Linked DNA regions of Lonchura striata. The main gene of each other region encodes a partner of the protein of the gene in region 2 in a complex. Links are inferred from orthologs where the notes say so. Each region holds a gene or a part of one and is shown on either strand. Other genes may lie near its edges.

Region 1 (7,510 bases), on a different chromosome or scaffold from region 2:
GCTGGGCAGCTGGAGGGCCTTCTGGGCAATTTTCTTCAGCACCTGCCCTCCAGACAGGTCTCCCAAATAGCGAGTGTAGGCATGGGCCACCAGGAGCTCTGGCTCGTTCTTGCCTATGTAGTGGAGCCTCTCAACATATTTCTGAGTCGCCTCAGGACATGGGATCTCTTCCCTCCAGTTCCTGCCATAGAAGTACTTCAAGTCTTCCTCCAGGGCAGCTTTGCGGTGCAGCTCCGCCGGAAAATAGACAGGGGCATAAACTGGATTGTTCTTGTTCCGTTCGATCTCTTCCTCCAGAGCAGAGTAGATAAAGTACAGGGACGCTGTAACCAGCTGAAAGAGAAGAAAATGCATGAACTATAGGTGCATCTGTTTATTGTTTTCAAGTCTGTGGGACAAATTGTACTAAGAATAAAGGTACTCGTGGGCACGCCCACAATGAGTCACGAACACCTGTGATGGTGCAGATTTCCCGCGTGGAAAACAGTGCAAGGTACAGGGAGACACTGTTTAGCCCTTCCCTTCGGCTTGAGACAGCAATCAGGTGAGCCCTTTCCAGCAGATATTGGTCTTACTTTCTCTTGAAGTCACTGCCTTGCCTTCAAGTTAAAGTCTGGCAGCTTGATGTGATGTAAAGTGGAGCTCTGTTTAAGCATTCCTGGTCTCTTCTCATTCCCTCAGTCAATAGAGAGGGTATTCCCAAAGGTATCCTTTCTGGTACATTGTTCAAATTTGAATGCTCCAAAATGTGGCTTCCTTTTGTGGGGCCTTGTGAAATGATGACACACCCTGGTTATTTTTCAACATATTCATCCTGTCAGCATCCCACCATCCTGGGAACTGAGGCACCACTACTCTGCTCACTCAGGCATGCAAGTGGGGTTGCCTCCTCGGTTGCCCCAAGGGAACAAGATAAAAGGGATCTGGAAGCACAGCCTGCCTCTGAAAGATGCCTTTGTGAAGCAGTGCTGTGAGGCTGTGTTCTCCCCTCTATTTTGAAACCATTGTTATTGTTGTTTTTCCCAGCTTATGTGATACTTTCTTCTATCTGCCAGCTTTTCCACATGATCTGAGACAATATAGCTGTGTTCTTTCCTTCCCCAGGCATTCTGTTTTCAGAGGCTGTTACACCTACACCACCCCTTCCTTACCCTGGGACCCTTGTGAGCAGCAAATGGTAAAAGATGAAGGTGTTGTAGTAGAGGTGAGTCAGGTTTGGGTAGGGGGGATTATGCTGCTCACAGGAGAGAAAGCTGTTTACTTTCTCACAAAGCAGTCAGTTCTGCAGTGAGAGAGTTCCTGTTTCAACCTTGTCCCACTGTGCCAGAAAATAGGACTTTGATAAGCACATGGGCAGTGACTGGTTGTGGAAACAAATATCCACCATCTAGGGAGTCACGTAGCAGGCCAGATATATAAGTCTGCCAAGAGAGTAAACAAAAACAGTTTTTTAAACAGTAACCTGTTACCCAACCTACCGGAAAAGAAACAAAACATGGGAACATTGCCTTCCAAATTAAGCAAAATTGTAACTCAACTAATTGTTTTCAGAGGCAGGTAGTTGTTTAATGAGAAACATGGCTTTTAAACACTTGTTAATTTTTAAAATCCATGTTCCATCTCATTCACCTGACAGCATGTAAAAATTATCTAAGAAACCAAGTTTTATTCCTGAAAGTCTTTTTACACACTAACCTGTCTCAAAGATCACTGCCTAACCAATGCCATATTTCTAACAGCAGGAAGTCAGCACCTGAGATTGAATTTATGCTTGGCTAAGTATTCTGAATGTCACCTGTCAGAAACAAGCAGTCTCTTTCCTGCTTCTGTGGATTTATTTGCCAAGGAACAATTCAACAACAAATTAATTAAGCCACAGGTTGAATCAGTAGCTGTTATTTGCAAGTCCATGTGTCACTTCCTATAGCCTCTCAGGAATTCTGGCCCAGGTGTTTGCTTTGGTTTTGCTCTTGGCTTTGTTATATGGCTCAGATCCCAGGAACTGTATCTAGCCAGGTTAGGCTAATGTGTGGAAATGTTTCTTTTTATCTTGAAAAAGGCAACAGGCTCCTGCTTGTTAGCGGCAGACACAGATTACTCAAACTCAGTCTGGTTTTGAGTTATTGTTTATGATCTCAGCTGTGGTATAACTCAAGTGACAATGCAAAGTTCAGTGCCAGCAATGATCCCACATCCTCGCTCTGTCACCATCCCATTATTATTTCTAGCTGCAGCTGCCTAGAATGTTGTAGATACAGAATTCTCCCTCTTTTGGGCAAGTATCTGAACATAGTTCTAGCTCCATTAACTGTGACTGGCAATAATAACATTCAGGCATTTATGAAGAAAAAAGCAATAGCATTAGTCCCAGCAACCTCTTTGTCCTTATTTCTCCTGTTTCAGCTTGGCTGCCCATTGTGATATGCACAGCCCTTCCCCACCTTCTGCAAGAGGAGCCAGTAGGACCTCAGGGTGTAGAAGTTTGATGTTTTTCATAGGAGATACTGATACATCATGCCCCTATCCTCCTGTACTGTCCCATCCTCCCCACTTTAGTCCCCTCTCAGCCCATCTGATTTAACTGGTGAGGAAATCCCATCCCCAAGCAACGCTGCTATGAAGTACCTTAAACTCCTGGAGTGACACCTGCCCCTTTTGGAAATTCCTCATGAACGGTGTGTTCTCTGCCTGCTCGTGCACCTCCTTGGTAGCTTCCTTCAACAGCTCTGACAGGTCTGCGGACATCCTGGGGAGGAACAGTGAAACAGGTATTAAGAGCTGTCTCCTCTGACAAAACAAATCTTAGCTCTCTAGGACAAAAGGAGGAGCCTGGGATGGCAGAAAAAGGAGCAGAGCATTCTCGAGAGGTGCGGATGGGACCCAGAGCGAACCAGCTTTCCAAACAGTGTCCCGAGCAAGGAAGACTGACACACTCCATCCAGAGGTGGAGGCAGCAGCATGCTGCAGAGCAGGAACAGGAACAGCATTCCTTAAAAGCAAGGGGAGAAACACAACACTCCTCTGCCAAAACGCTTCCCTCCCATTCCCGTCCCGCTCTCACCTTTCGGAGCTGTGTGGCTGCGAAGTTTCCATGTTTGTCTCCTCTGCCTCGCTGCTGTTGCTCGCGCGTTGCTGCTTCCCTCAGCTCCCGGGACAGCGAAGCTCCGAGCTGGGCAGCCTGACTCCCACATCCAGCTTTATACTGCCCGGCCACGTGAGCAGCGAACCGCTGACCTCGGTGACTGCAGGCTTCTTGCAACACAGCAGCACTTCCCTTCCCAGCTGGCTGTCACCCTCTCCTGGCCCACCGCCCCGAAGAACCAGAAGGAAGTCACCAGATGCATCTTGATAACTAAGCAAAACCGAGAGGATGTCCAGAAACTTCTCTTTTGAGGGTGCCTGGCTCTGTAACCCTTTCAGTGCCTTGCCCGTGGCAGGCAGAGCCCGGGTCCTGCCAGAGGTGCTCGTTGTCCTGGGGACAGCGGGGTCGGACAAGGAGGGTGGATTTACAGAGGTAATTCCTGGGGCACAGAGGGCAGCCTCCTCACCCTGCACCCCAGTGTGTGTGCCTGGAGAGCCAATCCAGCACTCCCCTGCTCCAGCACAGCTCAGGTGTAACCATCCCACCTCCTGTGCCTGTGCTCAGGCATGCACCGGCTCTGGCCTGCAGGTGCCAGACCTGTCCTTGTGCAGCTCCCCCTTGCCCTTGGTGGTAAATCCTGCCACTTTGCACAGAGCCAACACAGGTGTGCCAGCACCGATGCACAGCCAAACCCACTCCATGCCCTCCTGCTCATGGAAACAATGGCATCTGATTTGTTTGATAGCTGGCTCCTCTTGTCACCACAGCAGTGTGCAGGGCAATTTAGGAAAATTGTACACCATCTCCTAGATACCCAGAAGGCTGGGGTAGCTGAAAAGATATCATACAGGACTTGGGGGAAACTGAGAAAGTTTGCAAAGACTTTCAAAGGCAAATAATTACTCTGATTTGGGAAAAGAGCTAAAAGAGTTGGACATGGTGCTTCTGCAAATAGCTGTTGCTCTGCTGGATTTTCTGTTTGTTTTTGTTTGTGGGGGTTTTTTTAACTTTTTTTTTTTTTTTTTTTTTTTTTTTTTTTTTATGAAGTGGTCAGTGAAGCAGCCAACAGATGAAGCTGGGCCCTTCTTTCCCACCTGTAGTTATGCTGGAAGCTGGGCTAGCAGGGACAGGTGATGCACTAGCTGGCTGTACTTTGGAAAACACACATTTGTGCTCAGCCCAAAAGAGCAGGGCACTTAGAGCCACCACTCCCCTGCTTCAGTGGGTGTGAGAAACTCCCTGGTACAGTGGGGCAGGGGGTGGTGGGGAGGCAGAGCCTGGGTGGAAGGAGAAGGACTGTGGCATCTGCTGTCCCTCTGCAGCCAGCCTTCTCTGTGGATGCTGCTATCCAAGCCAGCACCTTGCCTGTCTCCCTGTCCCTGCACCCACACCAGTCCCAGCAGGGTTGGGGGCTGTAGGTTAAAAAGCTGTTCTAGAAAATGTATTCTTCTATGCTTCTTTTTTTGACTCCAGCAGACATCTGGCATGCAGCGTTCAGGAAGGATTACTCAGCATTTCCACCCTGACTCGGCCAGACTTTTCCTGTCTTGCTTTTGTCTTTTAAAGCAACAGTGCACGCTGGCAAAAGCTGACATGTTCCATTCTTACCCCCATGCCACTGCAGACAACTTACTTGCTTTTCTGGAAGGTAAAATAAATTTATCAGGATGTCTGGATCTTCGAAGCAAGTGTGACAAAACCCCAAACATCTCCTGAGAGGGCAGAAAGCAGACAGCTCCATGGCGAGTCCCTCCTGAAAACATTGAAACTACAGTTTGCCACAGGAATGGCCTCAAAATGAATGTTTCCCTCTGGCATAACTCAAAGTTTTCATTTTCTGTCATTTTCAGTGAGTCCTATTCTGACAGGGGAAGCTGGAGCACAAATTGAACCTCTAGTTCTGGTGGAGGGAAGTAGGAAATAGATGGGAATTATATGAGAATAAGAATTATATTATGAGAGTATATTACTCATTTTGTGAAATAACATGAAAAAAATCCAATCCTCAAGCCTAGCCCCTCCTTTCACCTGCAGCCCTGGCAATGTACCCAGTTCTTCCCAAGGACTTTATGGGTGCTTTCAAGCCCATGATTTTGTCTCCAGCATGCCCACCTGTCTTCTTCCAGGAAGCTGCATGCTTGGAAGCCCTATAAAAGATATATCCAAAAGTCCTTTTCCCTTTTAACCCAGGATTGTGAGTGAGACTGTGGGGGAAGAAAGAGAGGGTCTCTAGTCTTGTTGCTACCATTCCAGGTAGGTTTTCTGGCTTGTAACCATACTGTCCCAGAACATGAAGCAGAACCTCTTCTGGCTCTTTGGGCTTTACCTTCCCCTGGGCAGGTCACAAGAGATGCAACTCACCTCTGCCAGGAGACTTGCAAAGGTGCAGACAAGCAAGCCATGCCCCATAAGTGATTTATACTGTCTGATCTCTCTCTGATTTGGGTTTCTTGGGATGGAGCAGCTGTGAGACACAGCCTAGCTCTCTGGAAAGGCCCAAAGGCCCTGCAGCAAGATGGAAGGAGAACTGAAAGTGGGGTTTCATCATCTTTGCAGTTGCTAGCCTGGAGCATTTCTGACCCCTTCAGTGTTCTGCAGCAAGGGCTTGAATTGCTTCTGCAGTGCTGTTGCTGATGGGAGGGAGGTCAGTGCCACCGAGCAAGCAAACATGCCAGCAGGGATTTGTGAGGGACCATCTCCTCCTCAAAGAGAACTTTGGAAGTTGCCACTTGGGAGCAATGAATGGGGAGGGAGGTGAGTGCTTTTGGTGGAAGGAGCAAACAGGCTCCCAGAGCAGAGTGGGCCATGGGAAATCAGAGCCCAGCCCAAATCCAGTCAGTAGGAAATTCTGCTTGACTATCAAGTCTCAGAGCTGTGGTCTCCACTGTGCTTGCCAGAAGCCCTGCTGTCTCCTGCCTTTCCAGTGAGCTGCGTCTGGGTAGTGCCAGAGCTACTCACTGTGAGGACACCAGCAAAACTGCCCAGGGGATTTCTAGCAAAGATGAAGAAAGTAGCCTCAGGCAAGATATTTGTAAAAGTTCTTGCTGGACTTAAAAGCCTGTCTGCACATCCCAGCCCCTGAGAAAATGCTTAGTCATGAGATGGGAGATGAATGGTTAAAAACAACAGAAAGTTATTGAGGGGTCAGTGTTTCCATGTGGAACAGGGAAGTGGGGAATTTTCTCCTCTTTGTACATTAACAGCCTATTTTGCCAGCAGATTTATGGCCAGAAATGTCTAGTTACACTGGCAGTCACGGGATGCAAAGTCAGCTCTCTTGAGTCCCTTGTGGGTAGCGCTGTTCCGTGCTGGTAGCTCCCAGCAGCTCAGCTCCATTTTCATGGGGAAAACCGGCCTTAGCCAGCTCAGAGGGACTAATGGGCTCTCTCAAACCGTGACACAGCAAAATGCAGCTGCCTGGTTTGCACTCGGAAAGCTGAGTGCAAGCCAGGCTGCTGCATCATCACTCGGTGATGAGGATTTGCTGTGTAATGGTATGGGGAAAAGGGTTACAGATTGCTTAAAATTACTTGCTGGAGAAAGGAGTTTGTACTGGAGTGTACAGGGATATCCTGTGTGTTAATTTGTGTTTACCAAAGGATACTGCCTCTCCCAGCCCCGCCTTCGCTGAACTGACTGTGCTCACTGGTCTCTCAGCATCTAAAAATTCCAATCTAGATCAAAGATGAAGATGGAGAAAAAGGAGGTTGAGCGTCCAATGCACTGGAAATCCCTATGGAGAGCTCAGGCGCTGCAGCTGTCCCTGGGGCTGGCACTGCTCGTACTACTGGAGGGTTGTATAGACAGACATGGCTGTGTTAGGTAACCCCCCACACGGGAACCCTGGAAAACAGTGTGGTAGGAGATGGAGGCACAGGCAAATTTCCCAGGATAAATGAACCAGCGTGACAAAAACAGGAAATGCAGATTACAATAATTATATTCACAGATGTATGGGTATGTGTGTGCTGCAGCACACTGGTGTCTCCAGCACATAGCTATGAGCAAGGAGAGAGCCTGGGCTGTCTGGAAACAGAATGGGGAGAAGAAGGGAGAGCAAGTGCCCTGCAAGGCATGTGCCTGACCAGAGTCAGGCAGTTACCTTAAGCACACAGCAGGTTATAGGTACACTGGGCTGAAATTTTGGGAGAGAGTACATAGGGCCCACCATGCTTCGTAGAGTCTTGGTGGTCATGGGAATCAATCCTGTGTCCAGCTAGGAGCTGCTTTGGCAACCAAAGGGAGGTGTGGAAGGGAATGGGACAGAGTTCGCAAATAAAATCCCATTTGTGCAAATGTTTCAGTCAGTGCTGCTGCCTCCTTTGTTTCAGTGCCACAACTGTGGAAAACAAAGTGTGCCCTGACCGCAGGACAGAACAAACCGTGAAACTTTGGATTTGAAAAATCACACATCTGCAACACAGAGGA
Region 2 (7,715 bases):
AATCCTTGCAGGCATTTTATCAACTCGCTCCTCCAAAGCTTGGAGTTAGAGAGAGATGCAGCAATGACCCACGAAAGAGAGTCAATTGATGTGTTTCACAACCACACAGCAAGATCCAGCACCACAAAAGTATCAACTCCCCAGGCTGCTAGTTAAACCTTCCCAGCAGACTTCCCGTGCACTGCCAGAGCCAGATTTTACCAAGGAGAAAAATCCAACCCCATCTCTAACTCCAAACCTTGCTATCTCCTACTCCACACAGCAAGAAAGGAAGGTAAGTAAATCAATACCTCCATTCCTTGCAAAGGAGTGACTGGAGGCATGGACATGGCTGATTACTAAGCAAAAATACTACAATAATCTGCCACCATGAGTCAAACTCAGCCACTCTTTGGACTTGTGGCTCTCCAGAAGCCACCAGACATGGCTTCTGGTCTCTCTGTCTGGATTCCATGGGTGATAGCAGCCCACAATTAACCTGAAATGTTTACTCAGGGACAAACAGCAAGAGATTACAAGCAGCCTGCAATTATGAATTGTTCTGACCTATGAAATTTTCAAGCCTATAAAAAAGCACTCTTGGCAGAGATGCACCTGTCACTGCAGGGCTGGTGATTCACTCTCTACAACGGCGTGTACAAAGTAATCTCATCACTGGGATCAAATGATCACGTTGGGAAAGCAAATTATGCAAGTTCTTAGAATTGTGTTTTTTGAGGCAGGAGAGTTGACATCAGGAAACAGAACAAAGTTCAATGCCCACAGAGGTACCTGCAAGTGGTTTTCTTTTATACCACGGGAGCAGATGGCAGGAGCACAAACCTGAGCAGGGAAGCCTTTTCCTCAGTCCTTCAGAACTGAGCAAACACAAAGTTTGCTGTATCCCAACAGGCAAAGGAGAGAGCAAAGACCAAATGGGATTTCAGTCAGATAGTTCCACACTTTGCTTTTGCTGCAGGTAAAGAAACCATCACTCCCACCCATTGCCAGCCACCCTCCCCAAACCCAGCTGCACCCAGAGATGCTCCACAGCCTGTGACACTCAAAAGAAAGGGGTTACCTTGCACCTATGGGTCAGCAAACAGGAGTTGGTGGGGCCTGTGAGTTCCAGCACGGAGGGCGGTGAGCAGCAAAGTCTCCCTTGAGATATTTCAAAGAGTTTTGGTTGTAAGGCCCTGTTGACCTCCTCCAGCTGCTCTGCAAGAAACAAAAGGCAAGTTGCAGAAGGCACGTGGCTTTCCAGGAGACACAAACCCAGAAATTACTGACTGAACAGGAAGCAACTGTGAAGTGATGACAAGCAAGAGGTTCTTCTCTGTCACAATTAGAGCAGGACTAATTAACAGGGTGTTAAGCTGGATCTGTGACACTACACCCTCCTTTCTTTCACATTCAAAGATTAAAAGAAGGTGTTCAACTGGTGTTAGTTCCGGTAGCTCTGTATCCTCCCTGCTCCCTGTTCTGCAAATACCGTTGTCGTGCACCATCACATCCACGTGCAAAACTAAGACACACTCCATGCCATGCACACCCTGCCTCAGTGCTGTCAACCAGCCCAAGAAAAACCTGTACTGAGACAATGCTGGGTTTTCCAGGAAGGGTCTGGCTCAGCAGCCCTCCCAGACAAAGCACCGATTTCCTCATTTGCAGCAGATTAATCAGCGAGCTGCTTTGCTTATGTGCAACAGCTCCTCGGGATTTCTCAGAGAATTACAGAAATATTGGAAGAAAGCCCATTCCCTTCCATCTAAAAAAAGGGATGTGTACACCACTGCACCCCACTAAGCAAAAAAAATTACGAAACCCCACAGCTCCTCACAAGCCCACACAAAGTGTAGAGATCTGTTGTGAAGGGGATGTCCCCACCAACGCTATCTGTGATTCACTTCCACAACTCAGAAACAGAGACCTGATTCCTTCTTCCTTGCACTTTTCCAGCTTCTCAGCCGGATATATGTTCCTACTTTTTAAAAAGAGCTGTAAAAACACAAACCCATTTCACTTTTCCAGACTCACAGAGAGCCTCAGTGATCCCTTCTCTGTACACATTCCACTAAGCATTCCTATTTCCATTCACACTCCAAAAGCTAACCCTGAAGAACAAAGCACACTCCAAGCTGCACCAGCAGTGCTTACTCCTGCAACTAAGGCAACTCCCCAAGAACCAATTCCACTCTGATGACTAACTCCCAACACCATCATCCAGGTACCTTCACCCTCTCCACCCTCAATATTCCCAAAACCACTGGGTTCCCATTATTTCCTTTGACAAGCACACACTCTATAGGTGAATACTTTCATTCTTCCAACAAACTCCATCAGGAAAAATCAGGAGCAAACAGCCTTCCCACACCCCAGCAGTTTATAAAGTGAAATAGATGGAAAAACAGCGGAACACCCCAGCCTGCAGCAAAGGTATCAATTAAACGCTGGGAATAACGTTCTCCAGGGATGTGCCAGAAAATTAAGCTCGTTAAAGGCTTTTAACCAGCACCAGCCCGGGATGGGGTAAGTCTGAGCAGCCCTTCAGTGCTGTGGAAGCAAGGCAGGGTGGGCATCACCCCAGCCCCGGGGTGACAGGCGTGGTGGGGCACCCCAAATAACAGCGGGGCCATGCCTGCCCTACGGGGCACATCGCTCACACCAGGCTCCCCAGGAACAGGGGCTCAGCACCACCAGGTGCTCCCAAACAAGACAGGCTCTGGTCATCCCAATTCCTATCAGGGGATCAGTCACATCAGACTCCCCACATAAGAGAGCTCTGGCCATCCAGGTCCCCCCCAAATACCAGGGGACAGCCACAGCACCCTGCCCAGATAACGTGGCCGTCCCAGCCCTCCCATACCCCTCCAGTAAAAAGGTTCTATAAGCACCTCAATAACCCAGTAACAGGATGCCCACTCACACCAGACCCCGCAGTGAACGGGGGGCTCTGGGCATCCCAGTCCCCCCTCAAAGAGAGCTCCATTCACATCGCCCTCCCCGCCAGCGACAGCGGTGCCACTCACCCGCCACACGGGACCCTGTGTCAGTCCCGTAACACGCAGCCAGTCCCCCCACACAGCGAGAGCCGCCATCCCACACCGACCCCACCAGGGGTGCCGGACCGCCCCTCCCCAGCACAAAGGGCTCCGGCGGCGAGCTCAGCCCCCCGCCTCAGCCCCAGAGGACCCCCGGTCCCGCACCCTCCTCACCCCCAAGCGCCCGTTCCCCGCGTCCCGCACGCTCCGCCGCTCCGGCCCGTCTGCCGCTGGCGGCTCCCGCGGCCCCGGCGCGGCCGGCACGTACAGCGGGCCGCACCACCCGCGCACGCGCGCGGGGGAGCACGCTCCGCCCCCGCCGCCCGCCAATAGGCGGCGAGCGCGCCTGCCTGTGGAGATCACCCCTCTGCGGCGGCGCATGGTACAGCCCCAGGACGGGGGTCTTAAAGGGACAGGAGCGCCGGGAGGGACCGGGGGAAAGTGGGGGTCGGTCAGAATTGGGGCGTGGGGAGGTCACGGGTGGAGTCAGGGGTCGGCCAGAATTGGGGCGTGGGGGGGTCACGGGTGGGGTCAGGGTGCAGAAGAACAGGGTCCAGAGGTCACGGTGGGTGCAAGCAGGGGCTCAGCCTGGGGGCCAGGCTCAGGAGGGGAGGCAGGGTTGGATCAGCGTTGTGGTTCGGGGGTGGGCGTTGGGGTCCTGGCAGGGTCAGAGTTGGGGTGACAGTGGGAGCAGGGCTTGGGTTACTGTGGAGTCACGAACTGGGGTCAGGGTGCTGAGGTCACTCTTGGACACCACTCTGGGCTGAGCCAGCACCTGCAGACCCAGGACCCTGTCTGTCTGTGGCCACTCCTGGGTGCTGCTGTGGGACTCCCAGTGCCCCACAAGGTCACTGCCCAGACCAGGGCCCCGTGGGTGGTCAAGGGGACCCCGAGGTGCAGGCTGGTACCCAGTCACTGCCATCCTCTGTGGGAGCCAGGGAGCTGCTTCACCCAGGGAAGCACATGCTCCTGATTTAACCACAGCCCAGATGATTTGGATGTTTTGGGGTGGTCTTTCTCTCGCTGCCACACTAGGAAGTTGCTCAAGCAGCTCTGGAAGCATCCCCAGCAGTCCCAGTGGGACATTTCACAACCCAGACCTCCAGACCCCATGTCCCACAGGGACTGCTGCTCGCTTTCCTGTTGTTTTTTTTTTGGAGGAGGAAGCTGGGTTACAACTCTGGTGTTTCCAGCTTGGCCAAAGCCAGAAGCACAGCTTGCCCTGACCCCACTGAGCAGCCCCATGGCTGTGTGGGGTCACCCCAGGCTGGGTCCTCTCCCTTTGGCTGCTGGGCACTGGCACATCCAAAGTCACCATCCTGACGCCATCGCTGTGTTGACGCTCGCTCCAGAGTCAATAAAACCCTTGGGGAAGGTCCAAAGTTCGAGCTGGGCCTGGCAGGCAGCTGAAGAGGTGTGAGGAGGGGGCACAGACCTGAAGAACACCAGCCCAGGGCTGCAGGGACGCCCTGTTTCCTGACAGCATTTCAGCAGAGGGTCAAGGGGTGGGAGGTCACCTCAGTACTGGTGCCACCCACATCAGTTTTGGGATTGACCCCATGGAAGCTCCCTGGTGTGGCTGTTCTGTGACCATACCCCGTGGGGTGAATGGACATGGTTAAAGATCCCAGTGGCACTGAGGGGATGGCAGCACAGAGCAGGTCTGTGGCTGGGGTCAACCCATCAGGTGCCCAGACTGGCATTATGGCACAGCCTGTCCTATTCTGTCCCCTCAGGGAAGAAGCTGGGAGCTCATCACACCCAGCCCAAACCCCCCAGGGGCAAGCAGCAGAGTCCTGCAGCCTACAGAGACCTGGTTGGTCAGCACTTTGTACCGATTTCTCCCACCTCTCCAGCTCTCCTCTGTTCCCAGCACAGCTTGAGGCTGAACTTTTGCCCACAGAACCCTCAGAGTGCCAGAAAACAACAGGGGACACCATGGGACAGCCATGGAGGTGGTCTTTGGCAGTGTCCTGGCCCTGGCACAGGGAACCTGGCCCCCAGTCAGGATGTCTGCATGGGTGTGCTTGGCCAAAAGTTAATGACGGGCAAGCAAAGAAACACAGACCTGTTTTCCTTCCAGCGCCCATGTCCCCTGGCAGGCCTCCCCACTTTGTGGGTCCCCCCTCACCCCTGCATGGGGCAGCAGTGGAGGTCCAAGTCAGTTCTGCTTTCCTCGTGTATCCCTGACTCCTTTTCCCTTGCACCATGGTGGGAGCTGAAGAGCAGAGGGGATGGATTTGGACTTCCAAAGAACCTTTTCCATGGCAGGAGCACTACTCCAAGGACTGGGAGCAGCTGGCTCTGCTCCCAGCACTGTCCCCAGACTGTCACTCTGCAGTGACCCTCTGAGGACATGGGGGCAACCCAAGGGGCTTTCTGGACTCTCTGCACACCCTGTGCACAGACACATTCTGGCATGGAATGCAGTGGCAGTTTTACTAGGAACGAGCCAGAGGCACAAAATAGCAAACCTCCAGGGACAGCACGTTCCCAGGGGCAGCCACCCCAAGGGCAGCCACCCCAGGCTGAACTGGAGATTATTGATTTCTTTTTCTTTTCTTTTCTTTTCTTTTCTTTTCTTTTCTTTTCTTTTCTTTTCTTTTCTTTTCTTTTCTTTTCTTTTCTTTTCTTTTCTTTTCTTTTCTTTTCTTTTCTTTTCTTTTCTTTTCTTTTCTTTTCTTTTCTTTTCTTTTCTTTTCTTTTCTTTTCTTTTTTTCCTGCTTTGGGAACTTCAATTCTCTGTCTCCCCACCAAGGAAATGAGCGGGTACTGCAATGTGTGATGAGTAACATTACTCTGAGCTTAGATAGGCAGATGCCAAAGCCCAGCAAGCTTATGACTTTTACCTCCTTCTCTTCCAAATTTAAATGCTCTTCTCAGCCTTACATGTTTCATCCCAACCTGTTTCCTCCCTCTCAGCAACTTCACTTCCCTGGGTGATGAGTTCTGAATTCACCCCCAGCCCTGGTGAACTGGGACTTGTTGGACTCCACTGTCCAAGAGCATTTTGCTGTGGAACAGATGCCCTCAGAAAAGCAGGGAACAGAAAAAAAAAATCTCCTCAAACATCAATCTGAAGGGCATTGAAAACAAATCCATCACATTGCACATGACCAGTAGGAGCAGCTGGGCTCAGAACACTCCTGGGGACATGGTGGAAGCTGTAAAAATCAGAGAGACCAAGTGATCTGCCACGGTCACCGAGAAGCTCCCAAAAGATCTGGGAGCAGAAAGAAAGAAACTCCAAACTGTGGTTTTGTGCTCAGAGCTCACCTGGAAGGCTGTGGTAATTATGTTGTCCCAGCATGGAAAGGACCTGTTCCTTCCCTCCTGGAGGGAGGTTTGCACCAGCTGGGAATGGGGCAGTTCCCACGGTGACTCTTACAGGGCCTCCTCTACTGCTGTAAAGCCAGGAAACTGCTCCCTGGAAACACGCATCCCTTTGACAGCTCTGCGGGGAGAGCGACTCTCACCCGATCGACTGGTAAGAGTTGGACACGCGAAAACAACCGGATTCCAGCGTTTTCCAGCGTGCAGTACCGCTTGTCCCCAGTGCTCGTCCCCAGCCACCAGCCTGACATGCAACTGCGCCCATCCCACTGATTCCACCCCCAGAGATCCCATCCCATTGATCCCACCCCCAGAGATCCCATCCCACTGATCCCACCCCCAGAGATCCCATCCCACTGATTCCATCCCCAGAGATCCCATCCTCCAGAGATCCCATCCCACAGATCCCACCCCTCAAATCCTGCCCCACTGATCCCATCCCACTGATCCCACCCCTCAAATCCTGCCCCACTGATCCCATCCCCCTGATCCTGCCCCAGGGATCCCATCCCCCTGATTCCCATCCCACAGATCCCACCCCACCCATCCCCCAGAGAGGCACGCTCCAGCTCCCCACTTATAAACCAACCCAGAGAAAAACCAGTCCTTCAGATTCTATTTCAAGTTCACAGTTTGGAGATACACAACATTTGTGATTGCTGTTGATCTTCATCACCCTTTTGGAAAAAATAAGTGGTAAAATTCCTAAGTTTACGGGCAAGGACTACACAAGGAGGAAAATCAAGGCACTAACAGGAACGGAGTGTCAATATTTCAATGTTCTCTCTGGCATTTCTTTCCTGGTATTAAAAACATGCTTTTAAATTCCAAACAAGCTCCTTATCCCGCTCTTGTTCCACACTAAAAGTATAACAATACAATTGCTGGCAGCAGGAAAAACAGGACCATGAAATCAAATCCATATGTGATCCCACAGAGGAGAGAAATAATCAGGTATGAAACAGAGTTGTCCCCCAACTCCAAGTTAGTTCCCAAGTTGCTGCATCCTCCTGCTGAAAGACCTGCCTGGGGTGCTCACCTTCACAAGAAGAGCTTCGTACTCATGTTTTACTTCTGTGAGGTGCAAGTTCTCAGCACTGACATTGGTCTCCTCCAAAAGAAAGCCCCTGTGTCCCACATGGGACCATGGCAGTCATTCCAGAGGGGCTGCTGGAGAAGTCAAGCAGCTGGATGACAACACAGGGTTTGTTCACAGCCTGATGGTGGAAAAATGAGAGGCAGGGATGTGGTTTGGAACGTGCAGCTGCCAGAGCTGCCTATGGCCAGGCTCACCGAGAGCAGGGAGGAGTCTTGAGGCTGTTGAGTTTCTGGGGATGGGTGAGGCACTGCAAGAACATCTCC

Evidence for each region.
Region 1: the proteins of POR (region 2) and HMOX1 are in contact, whole or in part, in a crystal structure (PDB 3WKT), measured with the Rattus norvegicus proteins. The link is inferred for Lonchura striata from reciprocal best matches to the Homo sapiens genes POR and HMOX1. Residues at the interface, in NP_113764.1 of Rattus norvegicus: Thr88, Thr177, Asp208, Asp209, Arg313, Arg514, Lys515, Gln517, Arg519, Leu520, Phe522, Lys523, His626, Lys665, Met667, Thr668, Lys669, Gly670, Tyr672; in NP_036712.1 of Rattus norvegicus: Asp12, Ser14, Glu15, Gln38, Ala75, Pro76, Glu81, Lys149, Ile150, Lys153, Ser171, Asp173, Asn174, Thr176, Lys177, Phe178, Lys179, Gln180, Leu181, Arg183, Ala184, Arg185, Asn187, Thr188.

Annotation. Positions count from the first base shown.
Region 1 is NC_134607.1:22,464,527-22,472,036, reverse strand, and holds the start of HMOX1 (heme oxygenase 1), read right to left. Parts: upstream 3,182-7,510; 5' UTR 3,094-3,181; coding exon 3,062-3,093; intron 2,747-3,061; coding exon 2,626-2,746; intron 334-2,625; coding exon 1-333.
Region 2 is NC_134622.1:5,833,479-5,841,193, forward strand, and holds the start of POR (NADPH--cytochrome P450 reductase), read right to left. Parts: upstream 3,299-7,715; 5' UTR 3,195-3,298; exon of another isoform or gene 3,186-3,194; intron 1,198-3,185; 5' UTR 1,061-1,197; intron 1-1,060. UniProt on the Homo sapiens protein: This enzyme is required for electron transfer from NADP to cytochrome P450 in microsomes. It can also provide electron transfer to heme oxygenase and cytochrome B5.